2 linked regions of the Tamandua tetradactyla genome follow. The protein of the gene in region 1 interacts with the protein of each later gene in a biochemical or structural test. Links are inferred from orthologs where the notes say so. Each region holds a gene or a part of one and is shown on either strand. Other genes may lie near its edges.

The links.
Region 2: the proteins of TNFRSF13B (region 1) and TNFSF13 form a complex in vitro, tested with the Homo sapiens proteins (2 studies listed by BioGRID and IntAct). The link is inferred for Tamandua tetradactyla from reciprocal best matches to the Homo sapiens genes TNFRSF13B and TNFSF13.

Annotation. Positions count from the first base shown.
Region 1 is NC_135332.1:524,102-532,166, reverse strand, and holds the start of TNFRSF13B (tumor necrosis factor receptor superfamily member 13B), read left to right. Parts: upstream 1-5,042; 5' UTR 5,043-5,079; coding exon 5,080-5,098; intron 5,099-8,065. UniProt on the Homo sapiens protein: Receptor for TNFSF13/APRIL and TNFSF13B/TALL1/BAFF/BLYS that binds both ligands with similar high affinity. Mediates calcineurin-dependent activation of NF-AT, as well as activation of NF-kappa-B and AP-1.
Region 2 is NC_135332.1:61,415,207-61,422,880, forward strand, and holds TNFSF13 (tumor necrosis factor ligand superfamily member 13), read left to right. Parts: upstream 1-4,578; 5' UTR 4,579-5,477; coding exon 5,478-5,735; intron 5,736-6,097; coding exon 6,098-6,173; intron 6,174-6,292; coding exon 6,293-6,340; intron 6,341-6,484; coding exon 6,485-6,618; intron 6,619-6,766; coding exon 6,767-6,905; intron 6,906-7,113; coding exon 7,114-7,223; 3' UTR 7,224-7,421; downstream 7,422-7,674. Other genes in the region: TNFSF12 (tumor necrosis factor ligand superfamily member 12), read left to right, coding at 3,257-3,381, 3,575-3,826. UniProt on the Homo sapiens protein: Cytokine that binds to TNFRSF13B/TACI and to TNFRSF17/BCMA. Plays a role in the regulation of tumor cell growth. May be involved in monocyte/macrophage-mediated immunological processes.

The sequences.
Region 1 (8,065 bases):
CAGGAACGAAGGACATTCAGTGTAAGAGACGGAGCCAATGTGTGTAAATTGCAATAATGAAAATTGGGGCTTTCACTGCATTTCTAAGAAATACCCTTTTTTTGGACACTTTTGCTTTTGTCTTGCTCTGGCGGGTGGCGGGAGAAGTGTCCCCAGCGAGGTCCCAAGGGCCTGCGAGGGGCGGCGAGCGGCCCTGACAGAAACTCTCACTGCCCAGATGCCACATATAGAACAGGTTGAGGAACTTAGGAGAAGCCATTTCACAGCTGTCCCTGTTTAAATCTGAGCTGCTCACTGGCAAACACCGGCCAAAAGCCTCCCTCCCCAGGACGAGAAACCCCGCGTCAGTCAGAAGGTAAAACACGTGTGGTGAGCAGACAAAGGTCGAGAACAGTCGCTGCAGCGGGGCAGGGGGTGAGAACAGTCGCTGCAGCGGGCAGGGCTGCAGAAGGCTCTGCTGTCACCACTGTCTCTGCACTTTAAGAGCACGTTGAAACAGACAGACGATCGGCTGTGTGTGCCAGGAAAGAAAGGAAGAGGCTGAACACAGCGTTCAGTGCACAGAGGGCCATGGCTGTGTGAGAAAGGGGGTGGGGCAAGGCAAAGCAGATAATGCGGTTACTCAGGAAGGCTCCCAAATGCCTGGGCTTGCCGGACAGCGCGGGGACAAGCTCTGCCGATGGCCAGGGCCTCTGCGTAGGGACTGGGTAATCTCAGCTGGAGAGAAATGTACTTTTCCTTCTGTTCCCTTTTTTCATTTTTTTCTCACCACGAGCACATTTGTTTGGGCAGACGTACATATGCACAGGTGTCAGCTCCGAAAGCCTGGTGGTTTTATTCTGGGCCCCAGATTCCTGCTACCTTGACTGTGAGACGTAAACATGGAATCCTGACTCTTCCACCCGGGACGTGACCCTCAGGGGTGAAAGTTTCCCTGACAACGTGGGGCGGGACTCCCGAGGATGAGCCTGGCCCTGGCACCGTGGGATGGGCAACGCCTTCCTGACCCAAAGGGGGAAAGAAATGTAATAAACTAAGGCATCAGTGGCCAAAAGAAATAAAGTCGACTCGACAGGCTGCTCTGGAGGCTGCCGTCACGCAAGCCTCAGTTAGATAGTGCTGATTCCCATGTCAGCCAAACCCCAACCACCATCACTCCTGTTGACTCTTAAGAACACCTAGGGCTCGAACTGAGACTCTGTAGAGGTTTCATCTCTAGGTTTGCCTCCCTGAAACATATATTCCCAGAGGATTCTTGGATCAGATGACTCCTGAAACCCAGAGGGACCAGCCTCTCCAGAATTATCAATTAGTTCCATCCCCCTCTCCTTCAGTAGACATCCCTTCTCAACATGAAAAAGTCACAACAGACATTGCCCAAAGATCCCTGTAGATTGGGAGAAGGATCAGAGGAGACAAGAGGAGGTATAACAGAGAAAATGGGATTTAACAGATGGAGTATGGCTGCTGAATTACTATATTGATATTCCTTCCAGCCTCCAGGTTCTGGAGCAGCGAGAAGGAAAAACCTGAGATGGTGGAGTGGTAGCCCATGACAAACTCTGGGATCTGTTCTGTAACTACTTGTTGAAGTGTGCTTTGAAAAGTATTTCTTTCTTTACTTTGAGTTTATGTCATTTTTCACAATGAACAATGTTAAAAAATTAGGACCCCGGGTCCTCTGGAGAAAACCCAGAAAGGGCTGCAGAGTGAGGCTTGGGGGGCTCAGAACCCTCCCCTGCTCCGAGGGACCCCACGTGTGCAGGTCCAGGGGCTCACCGGGCCACCCCGCAGTGACACCCCCACATCGTGTGGCCCTTGGGGCTGGTGGGGGCTGGGGTGCTTCCTCCAGGTTATTCTGGGGGCTTGGCGTGGCCCCCCCCGGAGATGCAGCGACACCCCCACCCCCCGCCGAGGCCGCAGCTGGCTTCTGTCCAGTTCATTAATATCCAATATGGAGAGAAAGAGGTGGACATAGGATGAATGCACTTATGCCAAGTGCAGGCACCGTGCGTCTCTGGCAAGGGGCCGGAGGGGTGGCTACCTCCGGGTGGGGTGGGGCGCTTTCTACTGCCTGGAAGGGCCTGAGGGAGCCTTCTGGGGTGCACCTGGCTCGTCTGGGTCCCCAAGGCAGCAGCTCCGAGGGTGGAAGCACGCATGGGGTTTCACTGCATGTAAATTGCACCTCACATCAAAGAAAACGAAACAGTAGGTCAAGTTCCTAACCTCTAAGACAGGTTTGGACAGAAGGGTGACGAAGGAGCGCTGCCCTTCCATTCTCAGCCACCCCAAAAGTTGCGCTGGGTTTCAGGGAGCAGGGGAATCAGAGACATAACCAGGGCCTCACATCCACGGCCAGCTGGCCTCTGAGAAGGGCGCCAGTGCGGCCTCTTCATCAAAGGGTGCTGGGAACTGTGTCCGCACGAGAGAAGGGAGACACCCGTCCCGCAGCGCATTCAAAGGTTGACTCGGGGCGTCCTGCACTTTGGTTACAATCCTCACGGCTTTGGGACTCGAAATATTCATGAAAAAGCATGACCCATTCCGTGGGATCGCAGCCACACAACAATGCATGCTCAGCCGTGCGCGACACAGAAGGGGCTAGGAGGAGAGGCCTAGCTGTGAATTCGGAGGATTCTGGATGAGTTTTGCGTTCTTTCCTTCCTGTGCTTTTCTGATTTCTATACTGCACAATTAACTTTAAAAAAATTTTTTAAATGTTATTTTTCAAACCAAAATGAAAAGGAAAGAACTCAAAATGGATCAAAGACGTAAATATAAAAACCAAGACTATACAATTCCTGGAGGAAAACATCGGGAAGCATGTTCGAGACCACATGCAGGGCAGTGCTTTCCTAGAATTTATACCCAAAGTACAACCAACAAAACAAGAAATAGGGGGCGGGCCACGGTGGCTCCGCAGGTAAGAATGCTTGCCTGCCATGCCCAAGGACCCGGGTTCGATTCCCGGTGCCTGCCCATGTAAAAAAAAAAACAAACAAAAAATAGGTAAACGTGACTTCATCAATTAAAAACTTTTGAGGATCCAAGGACTTTATCAAAAAAGTAAAAAGGCAACCTACAGATTGAAGGAAAAATATTTGGCAACTATATGTATCTGATAAGGGCTTAATATCTAGAATATATAAAGAACTCTGACAACTCAAGAAAGACAAACAACCCAAATAAAATGGGCAAAAAATTTCCATAAAAATTTCTCCAAAGAAGATATATAAATGGCTAGTAAGCTCATGAGAAGATGCCTCACATCTTTAGCCATCAGAGAGATGCAAATAAAACCACAAGATAGCCTTTCATACCTACTAAAATGGTTACTTTAAAAAAAAAAGGAAAATGACAAGTGTGGGAGAGGATGTGGAGAGACAGGAACCCGAGGCACTGTTGCGGGGTGTAAAAGAGTGCAGCTTCCGTGGAAAACAGTTCGGTGGTTCCTCGGAAAGTCAAGTATCGAGTTCCATATGACCTGGCAATTCCGCTTCTAGGAGTGAACCCAAAAGAACTGAAAGCAGGGGCTCAAACAGGTATTTTCACACGGAAATCCACAGTGGCCTTCTTCGCAGTTGGAACCCACATGCCCCTCAACCGATGAACGGCTAAACAAAGGGCGGTGCAGATGTACAGCAGGATATTATTAGCTGTGAGAAGGAAGGAAGTTCTGATACATGGATGGACCTTTAAGGCATGTTGAGTGAAAAAACTCAGGTACAAAAGGACAAATAAGCAAATTCATAGAGGCCGAAATGATGATTCAAGTTACTAGTCACAGGGGCCGGGATGGGGAAAGGGGAGTTACGCTTGGCTGGCGTGGAGTTTTCTGTTTGGGGTGATGAAAGAGTTTTGATAATGGATGATAGTGATGGAGGCACAACTTTGTGAATTTAATTAACACCCCTGAATTGTATCATTGAACGTGGATAAAATGGGAAATTTTATGCTATTTGTTACCAGAATAAAAGCTTTAAAAACAAACAAGCAAAAAGAAATAACATCACGAGATTATTGCACAGCAGCTCTTTGTCAAAATGTGTCATGTCTGTGTAATTTAAATATAAATTAAATTTTGAGCCCCTCAAAACAATGTTTAATTCCCAGGTGGTGTTTAATTCTACTCCGCATAGAATTTAGAAGACAGTACTTTTTATGTGTCCACATCTTGTTACCTGAGGCCAGCGCATGGGCGAGAGGAGAGAGGGGCAGGCCACCCGCCCGCCCCCAGGGGGCACAGATGGATGATTTCTGCTTCCTTCTAGCTTTTGTGGGAAGGTTGCTAAGATTTGGAGAAAAGGAGCAGGTAGGGCAAATTGCCTTTACCTGTCGGATCGGCCTGTTTTGGCTGCAGAATAAAAATTGTACCTGGAAGTACGTGGGATGTGTTAGAGTAAGACTGGAGATTTCAGAGTTAAGAAGGTTACAACAGTGTAGTAAGAGCTTTCTGTCCTGGCTCTGTTTATTGGGAACTGACTCCAGGCCAAGGACTCATGCTAAGAACTTTATTGGGTTAACTCACTTCCTTCTCATCACCGTGAGGACAAGAAAATGGAGGCCCAGAGCGGGTAAGGAAACTGCCCTTGGCCACCAGCCGGTAAGCAGCAGAGCCAAGATTCAAACCCCGTCTGCCTGTCTCTGGGTTTGTCCTCTCCAGCGCTTTCATAGGGTTAGAGGCAGCCCAGAGAGTGGCACTGACCTTGGTGGGGGCAGTCAGGGAGGGCTTCCCAGAGGAGGTGACCCCTCCACCTAGCCTGGAAGAAGGAGGAGGAGGAGGCGACGAAGCAGACATGGGGAAGGGTTGAGTTCAGGACAGAGTTTACTCTACATCCCAGGCATGAGCAGGGCCTTGGCTCCCTGCTTGCACATAGTAGGTGCTCAGGCGCAGATGGGGTGGGATTCCAGGGGCACCGTGGGAGGGGGCGGAAGGAGCCCCAGCTGGGCTGCTCTGGGCCTGGTAGCGCAGGCGCGGGGCAGGCGGGGGCTGCTGATTTACATCTCATGGGTGGGGGAAAACCCAGACAGGGCTACCGAGGCACCAGCCACCCCACGGCCAGACCCGCGTCCCGAGGGATGAGCCTCGCCGCGCGCTGTGAGTACCTGGGTGGGTGCGGGCAGCCTGACCCTACCCCGGCCCTGCCTGCTGGGAGCCCAGACCCTGGGAGCCGGGGCGGGGGGGGGGAGCAGGCAGTCCAGGGAAGGGGGTCGAGGCCGGACTGGACGTGGCCCTTCTCAACGCTTCATTTTAAAGCTGCAGCTGCAAAGAGCCAGCAGGGAGCGGGAAAGAAGCCCGCAGACGCCCCCAGCTTCTGTAATGGCCTGTGTCCAGCCAGCTGTCCATCACCGGGCCCCCCATTCCCCTCTCGTCGCCCCGGCATTACTTTAAAGCTAACGAACAGCGCGTCATTTGGTGAGGGTTTACTCAGGGTGTGTCTCCCAAACACAAGGGCCCAAAAAACCGGACTCACCGTCGTGCCACCCACTTTCCTTCATGCCGCTAGACGCCGGGCAGCTCCCGGGCGGTCCTGGCTGCCTTATAAATCTAGTCCCGCTCATTCACTGAAACGGGGGTCTGCATAGAGCCCACCTTTGGTTACTTTTTTTTTTCTTCAGATCCTTTATAAAAACAACAACAACAAAACGTTGGTAAAATTTGTCATAAATTTCTATGTGTCTTCAAATGTCCCATTTTGACCACCTTCAAGTGTGCGATTCGGTCGCATTAATTTCAAGCACAGCATCGTGCTTTCGTTTTAGTTGGAGACAGTTCCCGCTCCTTTTTTTGTATTTTGCCTTGCTCCTTCTCTGGTGAAGAAACTGGGTCCCATGGAATTTTTTCAGGGCGGGCTGTATGGGCTGATTTGAAGATGCAATTTTGCTGGGAGTGTAAGTAACTAACACGGGCTGTGCCCAAGGCCCGGGGCTGGTGGGGCCTGGGGCTGCCCAGCACAGCCTCCAGCTGCTCTCGGCCACCCTCTCTCCCCCACCTCGGGAGGCACGTGTCCCTTCGCTGACCCCCTGTGTGTCCAGCGGCCGTGCCCCCACACATTTCTGAGAGCTGGACAGGGTAGCGAGTAGGGATGGCTCGGCTGGCACCATAGGGCAGGGACCAGCCCAGGGCCACGCTGGTGGGGGCGAAGCCACGTGTGCAGGATGGTCAGCCGCGACTCCCGGCAGGGCCCAGGGGACCTGCTTTGCGCTCCCCTGCTCGCAGACCCACCCTGGGGCCTGGAACAAGCTCCCTCCCCTGCTGGGCCTCCACTTCCTCCACCTTAAAATGAAGGGCCTCTGGCCTGCCAGAGGGTCCCCCAACCAGAAAGGGCTTGGTACCTGCCAAAGCACCCCTTGAAGAGTCACAAGCAAAGGCTTTGAGAAGGCCTGCAGTCAAAAAAAAAAAAGGCCTTGATTCTCTTCAGCGCAGCACTTTTCAGCCTAAGCTGGCAGGGGAGCTGTTTTTGTGGGTCACTGTGACGAAGCCCAGGCAGTTTGGGGAAACGGGGCAGCTCCTTTGAGACCCGGCCCTTGCCTCTTGGCTCCTCTCTGCTCTCTGTGGCCCCGGAGACTCTCCGCTGCTTCATCCTGGCTGGACCCTGGGGCCCAGCCCAGCCCCCAGCCCCGGCGAGTGGAAGCGCGTTCTCCCCTGGCCCCTTTACCTCTCCCGGGCTTCTTTCTCCAGCCTCTCCCCAGCTGGGCCCTCTTTGGGGGTGGATGATGGTTCTGGGGTTTTCGGGGTTTAGGTGGTGGTAGAGAGGAAGCAGGGACGACCTTCCCGCCCACAGCCGCCCCGGGCTGTGTGTGTGTGTGTGTGTGTGTGTGTGTGTGTGCATGCGCGTGCATGTGCATGCGTGTGTGTGTGCATGCATGTGTGTGCACGTGTGTGTGTCAGAGAGAGTGAGACGCCCTCCCTGCCACTCCCCCTTCAGGTGGGAGGGGAGCAGGGTCTCTTTCACTTTATCCATTCCTGGTGATTTTTTTGAGGGGCATTTATTCATTAAAAAAAAAAATTTTTTGTATGCTGTATGACAGGGTCACATTTCATTCTTTTTCCATGTGAATAATCCGTTATTGCGGCACCATTTGTTGACTTTTTATTTGTTTTTTCTTTGTTTCGGTTGTTTGTTTTTGGGGGAAGTGCATAGACCGGTAATCGAACCCGGGTCCCTCACATGGCAGGTGAGAGCTCCGCCACTGAACCACCCTTACACCCCCTCATTTATTCAGTTTTAAACATTATTTATTGTGAGATCTAGCATATACACAGGAAAAGCAATGCATTTTAAAGTACATTTCAACAAGCGGTTATACAACAGATTTCTAAGTGTAGTATGGGTTGCAGTTCCACAATTTCAGGTTTTCCCTTCTAGCTCCTCCTGGTGATTTCTAAACAGGTGGCATACCACGTGATTTGAAAACCAGAAAGTATAGGAAGAATACAGAAAAAACTCCTCCTTTCTTTTTGTTCCCCATCCCCAGTTCCTGCCTCCCCTGACGGCTTTATTGGGATATAATTTCACCCCATGAAGTTCTCCTGCTTAAGGTGTGTGGCTAAATGCTTTCAGTGCAGTGACAGAGGTGAACTGCCACTCACCATAATTCAGTTTTAGGGCATTTTTATCCCCCACCCCCCACCCTGAGGAAATACCAGTCTCCTTTCCGTCTCTGCAGTTTTGCCAGTTCTGGGCATTTCATATAAGTGGAACCTACAATACCTGGTGCTTTGTGGCTGCTTCTTTCACTAAGCATAATGTTTTCCAGGTACATCCAGGTTACAGAAAATATCAGTACGTCATTCCTTTCTGTGACCAAATAAGCTTCACTGTGTGGTTAGAACACATTTTCTTTATCCATTATCTGTTAATGGACACGGTGAGTTGTTGCCACTTCTGGGCTCTTGTGGACAATGCTTCCGTGAGCATTGGTGTCCAGGTTTTGTGTGGCCCACGTTTTCCTTTCTCCTGGGTAAACAGAGACCCAAGTGGAATTGTTGGTTCCTGTGGCAACTGTGTTTAACATTTTGAGAAACTGCCAAATGTTTTTCAAAGGGGCTGCACCGTTTTAT
Region 2 (7,674 bases), about 61 Mb from region 1:
GGCCAGGAATGCCCCCTCCCTGCTACTTGTCATGCTCCAGGCTAGTCTTCTTCCCCTCTGCATGCACCACTTATTTTAGCAGTGACCCAACCATTCATTTGTTTGTTCATTCATTAATTCAACACACATGCACTGAGAGACTACGGTGTGTTAGGGAATGGGCCAGCATGACCACATAAGACTCAGGCCTATCCTCAAGGAGTCACCGTGTAAGAGAGGAGTTAGGCATACAAATGTGCAATTATATTACAATACAACGAGTTTAATAATGCAATAGCTGAAGATACCTGGTGGTATAGAGGAAGACAAACTTTACAATGGCATTCAGGACTCTTTCCCCAAGAAAGTGGGGCTTCGTTGGGCCTTGGAGCCTGAGCATAAGATGGACAAAGGGTTCAGGACATTACAGATAAAAGGAAGCACTTGTACAAAAGCCCTGAATTCTCCAAGAGTGTGATGAGGCTGGGGGACTGTGAGAAGTTCAGTGTGGCCAAAGCTGAAAGTACTGGAGGGACAGGACAGGGTAGGAGGCTGGAGAAGAGGACAGAAGCCAGGTCGCAAAAGGAGTATGGGAGTTATTTAGAGGTGAGCCATCAAAAGAATAAGGGCAAGGGGCGGCAGGATCAAATCTGCCTTTTAGAAACATCACTGTGGCCTTGTGTGTGCAGGGAGTAAGCTGGAGGAGACAAGATTGGAAGTAGGAGGCCCGAAGCAGAGTAGTCCCATGAGAAATGTCAGAGAATAGGCTTGGGACAGAGTTGGGAAAGTCATTTAGGAGGCAAAATTGTTGGGAACTGATGATCAATGAATAAAGTTGGCATTATAGGAGAGGAAGGGTGAAACCAGAGCCAAAAATGTAATACAGACAGTAAAGCAAGTTTGAAGTGGGGTGAGGGACAAGCGCGGTGTGACCAAGATGAGTTTGAGGTGCCCACAGCTATCAGATGGCAGCATTTAGCAGGGCAAGGAAGGGCAGGACACTTCAGGGTTGGAAACTCAGATCTGTCTACAAAGTTTCGCTCATGATACACCCATCATCAGTAGTGATAATGTCCAACCAGAGTATGTGGCTTGAAAGTGATAAGGACAGAGGAAGCAGCTGCCAAGTCTCCTTGAGTCTTGCTGGTGAGGACCAGGGGAGAGACCCATGAACCCAAGCAAAAGCTGCCAGCCCTTTTCACCTCCTTCCCTCTGTCTTCCCAGCAATACTGACTGGGTACCTGCTGAGACTAGGCCTGTCCCCAGACGCCAGAGACTGGAAGCCAGACAAGGTTGCCCCTGCTCTCGCAGGGGAGTTACACCCCAAACTAACACGTACATAAACAAATTAGATAATTTCCACTGCTGGCGACTGCTCTGAAAGACATAGGGTGATGTGAAGAGATCAATAGGGGCAGGAATGGGACTGGTTATTTTAAACTGGGTGCCTGGGAAGGTCTCTCAGATGAGTTGAGACCTGACAGATAGAAGGTACCGGAAGCAACCCAAGTGCCTATCAACTAGATGAATGGATAAATAAAATGCAATGGAATATTATGCAGCCAAAAAAGGAATGAAGTTTTGATGCACACTACAACATGGCTGAATCTTGAAGATGCAATGTTGAGTGAAATAAGCCATATACAAAAGAAGAAATATTTTCTGATCTCACTTATATGAAATAATTAGAATATGCAAATTCAGCATCAGAAATTAGAATATGGGTTACAGAGACTGGGGGAGGGGTGGGGAGTTAAGGCTTGATGGGAACAGAGTTTCTGTCTGTGGTGATGGAAGGGTTTTGGTCGTGGCTGCTGGTGATGAGAACACAACAGTGTGACTGTAGTTAACACCGCTGAGTTGTATACTTGAGAGTGGTAAACATGGGAGATTTTATGTTGGGCATATGTTACCACAATAAAAATAAGGAAGGGAGGGAGGGAAGAAAGAAGGTGCCAGCTAGGAGAGGAACCCTGGGAGCGTGTCTGAGAAGGAGTGTGGCATGTGAGAAGGAACAGAGAGAAGGCCAGAGTGGCTGGAGCCTTGTGAATTGGAGTGCAGGTGTGAGATGAGATTGGCGAGGTAGGTGGGCAGACCAAAGAAAACCTGGGAAGCCATGAGATACACTGCTTTATCATTTTATTATTATTGTTATTTTTCAATTTGCAATTACTCCAGCTCTAGAGGGTTTTTGTTGTTTTTTTTTTTTTTTTTTTTTTTTAAAGGAAGGAAAGACAGAGAAGGAAGGAAGGATGGAAGGAAGGAAAGGAGGAAGAAAGGGAAACATTTTTAAACATTTTCTTGTTTTTTTTTATTATATTTTGTTTGTTTGTTTGTTTTTTACATGGGCTGGGGCCGGGAATCGAACCGGGGTCCTCCGGCACGGCAGGCAAGCACTCTTGCCCGCTGAGCCACCGCGGCCCGCCCTGTTGTTGTTGTTTTGGAAACAGCTTTATTGAGATATAATTCACATGCCATGAATGGATAAGCAAAATGATTTTTAGCATATTCACTGAATTTTTGTTCAGCCAGCACACGATCGATTTTAGTTCATTCTCTTCACCTTGGAAAGCAACACCATGTCCTTTAGCTGTCACCTCTCAAGCTCCCACACCCCAATCCTTAGCAATCACTAATCTACTTTCTGTCTCTACATCTTTGCCTAGTCTGGGCACTTCATATAAATGGAGTCATATAATATGTGGTCCTTTGTGACTGGTTTCTTTCACTTAGCATAAAGTGTTTTCAAGGTTCATTCATGTTGTAGGCTAGATCAGAACTTCATTCTTTTTTTATTGCCCAATAATATTCCACATTTTGTTTATCCGTTCCTCAATTGATGGATATCTGGATATGACTTTATTTTTAATAATTCAGGTAATGTATGTATGCTTCGATTAATGTATGTGTACATTCTCAATGTAAACGAGGCAAACAATATAGACGTAGATGAAATAAAGTATAAAAAAAGTGTTGTCTTCACCACCACCGCTGCCCCGCTTCTCCTTCGATCCAACTCGTCTCCCCAGAAGTGACTACTGAGGACAATTTGCTCTCTATTTTCTGGTCCTTTCCTTTGCATGTTTAATCAGGTACGTGTTGGATTTCTTCACATAACTTTTTCTACCATGTACCAGGCTCCCCCGTTGACCTGGGATCTGTGTATCTTCTGGGTCATTTATGCTCCTAACATTTGTAAAGTCGGTGGATCCCTGCGGAGCGTGGGGCGGTCCTGTAAAGGGACTTTTCCTTATCTCTCAACACCAACAATGGTCAGGTGTGGACGGGACAGTGCGTGGCTGGGAAGAGGCCAAAATCAACAGCTCCAACCCACTGCGTTATGATCGCCAGAGCGGGGAATTCACTGTCACCCGCCCTGGGCTCTACTACCTGTATTGTCAGGTAAGCCCCACTTGGCTCCACGTGGTAAGTGGGGGAGAGGTTTTCTTTTCTCAGGGGTGGGGTGGGGAGAGGTTAGGGGGCCAGCTAAGACTGAAGAGAGAGAGCTTGGGGTCTGGGTGGGATGGGATAGCTGGGTCTCTAAGGAAATCTGAACCAGAGGCAAAGGCAGGCAGCGTCTGGGCCTGCCCCCCAGGTGCACTTTGATGAGGGGAAGGCTGTCTACCTGAAGCTGGACTTGCTGGTGGATGACTCACTGGCCCTGCGCTGCCTGGAGGAATTCTCGGCCACCGCTGCCAGCTCCCTCGGGCCCCAGCTCCGTCTCTGCCAGGTGTCCGGGCTGCTGCCCCTGAGGCTGGGGTCCTCCCTGCGCATCCGCACCCTCCCTTGGGCCCATCTCAAGGCTGCCCCCTTCCTTACCTACTTTGGACTCTTCCAAATTCACTGAGGGGCCCTGGACTCACCGTGGCTTTGCCAGGCTGCTGGGCCCCCACAGCACAAGCACCAGGGTCCCCTCTGCCCCTCTCTCTGTAAGCTGCCAGGGCTCTTTCACTGGGTTCCCTTCCCACATAAATATTCCCATTCTTCTCTTACAGTCTCCCCACCCCTGGCCCCTGGCTCTCCACCTCACTAATTTCCAAACCTCTGGCCTTTCTAAGCCCCATTTATCTCCTGCCCCTGACCCTGGCTTGTAGCCCCAGGACAGTGTGTTTACTGTACTCGTAGGCCAGGATGGGTCGGAAGACCCCTCCTCCAGCACTGAGAGGGGCTGGACCTGGTGGCAGGAAGCCAAGACTAGGGACCTGGGCCAGGAGTTGCCCAGTGTGAGGGATACGAGGGCAAGACAGAGCTCCTCCCCTAACAATTCCCTGTGGATTTTTAAAACAGATGTTATTTTTATTATTATTGCAACAAAAATGTTGATAAGTGGATATTAAAGAAAAGAAGTCATGGGCTGTCTCTTTATTGGGGCTTAATGGACATTTTCAGGGTAGCCAAGTGGCATGGGGAAGGGGGATTCTGGACTTTGGGGAGAGGGGCGCAGGACACCTGGAATAATTCCAGGGGATTGTACAGAACAGGAGTGGGGGAACCTGCGTGTCTCTGACCCCAAGATGTGAGCCCAGAGTGGCAAGGCAGCCTGCCCAGGACAAAATCAGTTCTTGGCCCAAGGTACAGCACAACAGGCCTCATTTACCTAAGAGGCGGACCTCCTCCTGCAGGGGAATCCCTGGCCGGGAGGAGCAGGGGACGCTTCCTCTTGGCCTCGGGCACAGACCCTGGCTGGGATAAGGGTAGGGGCCCAGGGTCAGCAGGTGGGATGCTGGGGGGCCTCGGGAACATGGGGACCCGGGCCCTGGGTCCCAGGGAGGAATCCTACGGTGGCGAGGGTGTCCGGGGCTGCCTCTTTCTCTCTTCATCTATAGCCTTATGTAAGAGCTTTTCTCGGGAAACAGGAAGTCTCCTGCTTGCCAAGTTCAGCCTAGGGAGTAGTGCAAGGCTGATTCCAACACACCCGACCCAGCCTTAACCCCAGGATTTTTTGCTTCTGCGATTGTGATTCTCCTCCCTGCCCCCTCCCACCCCCCAGCTTCAGTCACCCCTAGCAGGTCACCGAGATCTCCAGCACCAGAGCCAGAGAGCCGATGTCAGCCACCTTCATCCCCGACCCTCGCCCCTGCCCAGCTTGTCTTCCATCCCTCCTCCTGGCACCATGCCCTGGAGCCAGCCAACCCTCCCTCCCCCCACTTCTGGGGCGGCCCCAGGGCTCCTGGGCTCAGGCCGCTCCTCCTGGGTGTCATTGGCAGCCCTGTCCTTCCTAGAGGGACTGACACCAGATTCCCCTGAGACTGGGGGGGTGGGGGGGCGGGGGTGGGGTCTCAGGCGACACTGGTCCCACTGCGGGGTACTTGGGAGCACCAGACAATACTCCTTGCTTGCTTTCCTCCTCTGTCCTTTTCACTCTCAAGTTCCTTTTTATCTCTCCCTTGCGTAAGGCCCTTCTTTCCTACTGCACTACTGCCTGCACTCCCATCCTCCCTGCCACCTCCTTGCTACCCCACTCCCGAAGGCACAGCTGTTAGCAGTGTCCCCAGCTCATGCCAGCTTTGTCTCCTGCCTCACTAGCCCCCCAAGGGTTCCCAGGTGACAGGGAGAGCCCGGTCCAAGAGCGGGCACTCTCTCTTGCCCTCTGGTTGAGTTGGGGGGCGGCTCTGGGTGCTGTGGCTTGTGCCATGGCATTGCTGATTCAACAAACAGAGCTGCAAAACCTAAGGAGAGAGGTGGCCTGGCTGCAGAGGACTGCAGGCCCTCCCCAGAAGGGGGAGGGGTACCCCTGGCAGAGCCTCCAGGAGCAGGTAAGTGAGAACAGAACAATGTCTGGAAGAGAGGGATGGGTGGCAGGGGTTCTCTGGGCTTCTCAGCTCCTGCCTCCTGGTGGGCAAAGTTTTAAGCAGATTCAGAAGAGGGTCACTGGGTTTGGAAGGCAAGAGAGTGGCCATTTGAGGAAAGGAAACTGTTAAAGATTAATGCTTCTGATACCTAATAGATCCTGGAGGACAGCCAGTACTGAGACTGAGGGGGCTGGGGAAAGGGGCAGGGGACATCTGAGGCATTCCTGGGGCACAGGGTGGGGTGGTGGTGGTGGGGAATGGTCTGGGAGGGAAGGCTCTCTGGGGCCTTTGCGTCTTGGCATAACTGACCCTCTTTCCATATGCAGAGCCCTGATGACCTGGGAACCTGGAATGGGGGGAGATCCCGGAGAAGGAGAGCAGTGCTCACCCACAAACAGAAGAGTGAGGCCTCTGGGGTGCAGGAGGGGTGGGAGGTGACCAAGCAGCATGGGGTCTGTTGCCCAGGGCTGAGACAACAGGATTGGGTGGCAGGCCCTACTGAGATCTCCTTTTCTCCTCAGAGAAGCACTCAGTTCTGCACCTTGTTCCCGTTAACATCACCTCCAAGGGTGAGCACTGTTTTAAAAATGACTTGGTGGGAGGGGTAAGACCTGGGAACCTGGGGGCTGGCAGCGGGGCTCCAGAGAATCATAGAGGTAAAAAGGTGAGAGTCACCAAAGTGTCTGAGAGTGCAGAGGAATCTTAACTGTCAGGCTCCTCACCTCCAGAGGACTCTGATGTGACAGAAGTGATGTGGCAACCAACTCTTAAGCGTGGGAGAGGTCTTGAGGCCCAAGGATACGTTGTCCGAGTCTGGGACACTGGAATTTATCTGCTGTATAGCCAGGTAACCCCAACATACCCTGATCCTCACCGGGGGGCCTGGATACCTCTGTCCATATCAACTTGAGAAGACCCCCTCCAGCCTCCCATCTTGGGGCTTCTGAAGCCTCCTAGAACTAAGTCTCTGAAACATCTCCCTCCTGCCCTGCCAGGTCCTGTTTCATGACGTGACCTTCACCATGGGCCAAGTGGTGTCTCGGGAGAGCCAGGGAAGGCAAGAGACTCTGTTCCGATGTGTGCAAAGTATGCCCTCCAACCCCGACCGGGCTTACAATAGCTGCTACAGTGCAGGTGAGAGCCACTGGGCAGTGGAGGCGGCTGAGGAGAGCAGACATGGCGCTAATGGGGAACTATGATGGGGAAGATTTGCGGAAGAAAGGACAAAATATCTAGGTCCTTACTGACGGCAGAAAAAAGCTGGAGCTGGAGAAGGGAGGGTGAGGTAGAAGAGTGTCGGGATGGCTACTTTACTGAGCATCTATTTTCTCTCTTTCCTCAGGTGTCTTCCATTTATATCAGGGGGATATTCTGAGTGTTATCATCCCTCGAGCAATGGCCAAACTCAGCCTCTCTCCACATGGCACCTTCTTGGGGTTTGTGAAACTATGATTGTGCTGTAAAAGGTGGAAGCTTAGGGTGGGTAGTATTGGAAATAGCAGACTTGACTAGACAAAGGCCTCGGACAGGGCGGAGAGAGGCCTCTTCCTAGGTTCACCTTCACTACTCTCCCTTTCCTTTTACCTTTCCACCCCCATCCCCTCAGCTTTGGTTTCGTGGATATTAAAGAGGGCCAATATCTTGCTTTTATCCTCCATCCAGTCCCAAATTCTTGTGTGTGGTGGAGTGGGGTGGGGTGGGGGTGTGGGTGCCAGGCATTGTCCCACTGGAATGGTTCCAGAACAGCACCGCCATCTGGCGGCAGCCTGAGGGATTCGCCTGCCTAATGGCAGAAGTCCAGGAAGCCACCTTCCACTCAGGAAAGTTCCAGGCTCACCGTGCCGCCCCTCTCTCCAGGCACCCTGCCTCTTCACCCCTCAAGAGACCTCATCCTCACCTGACC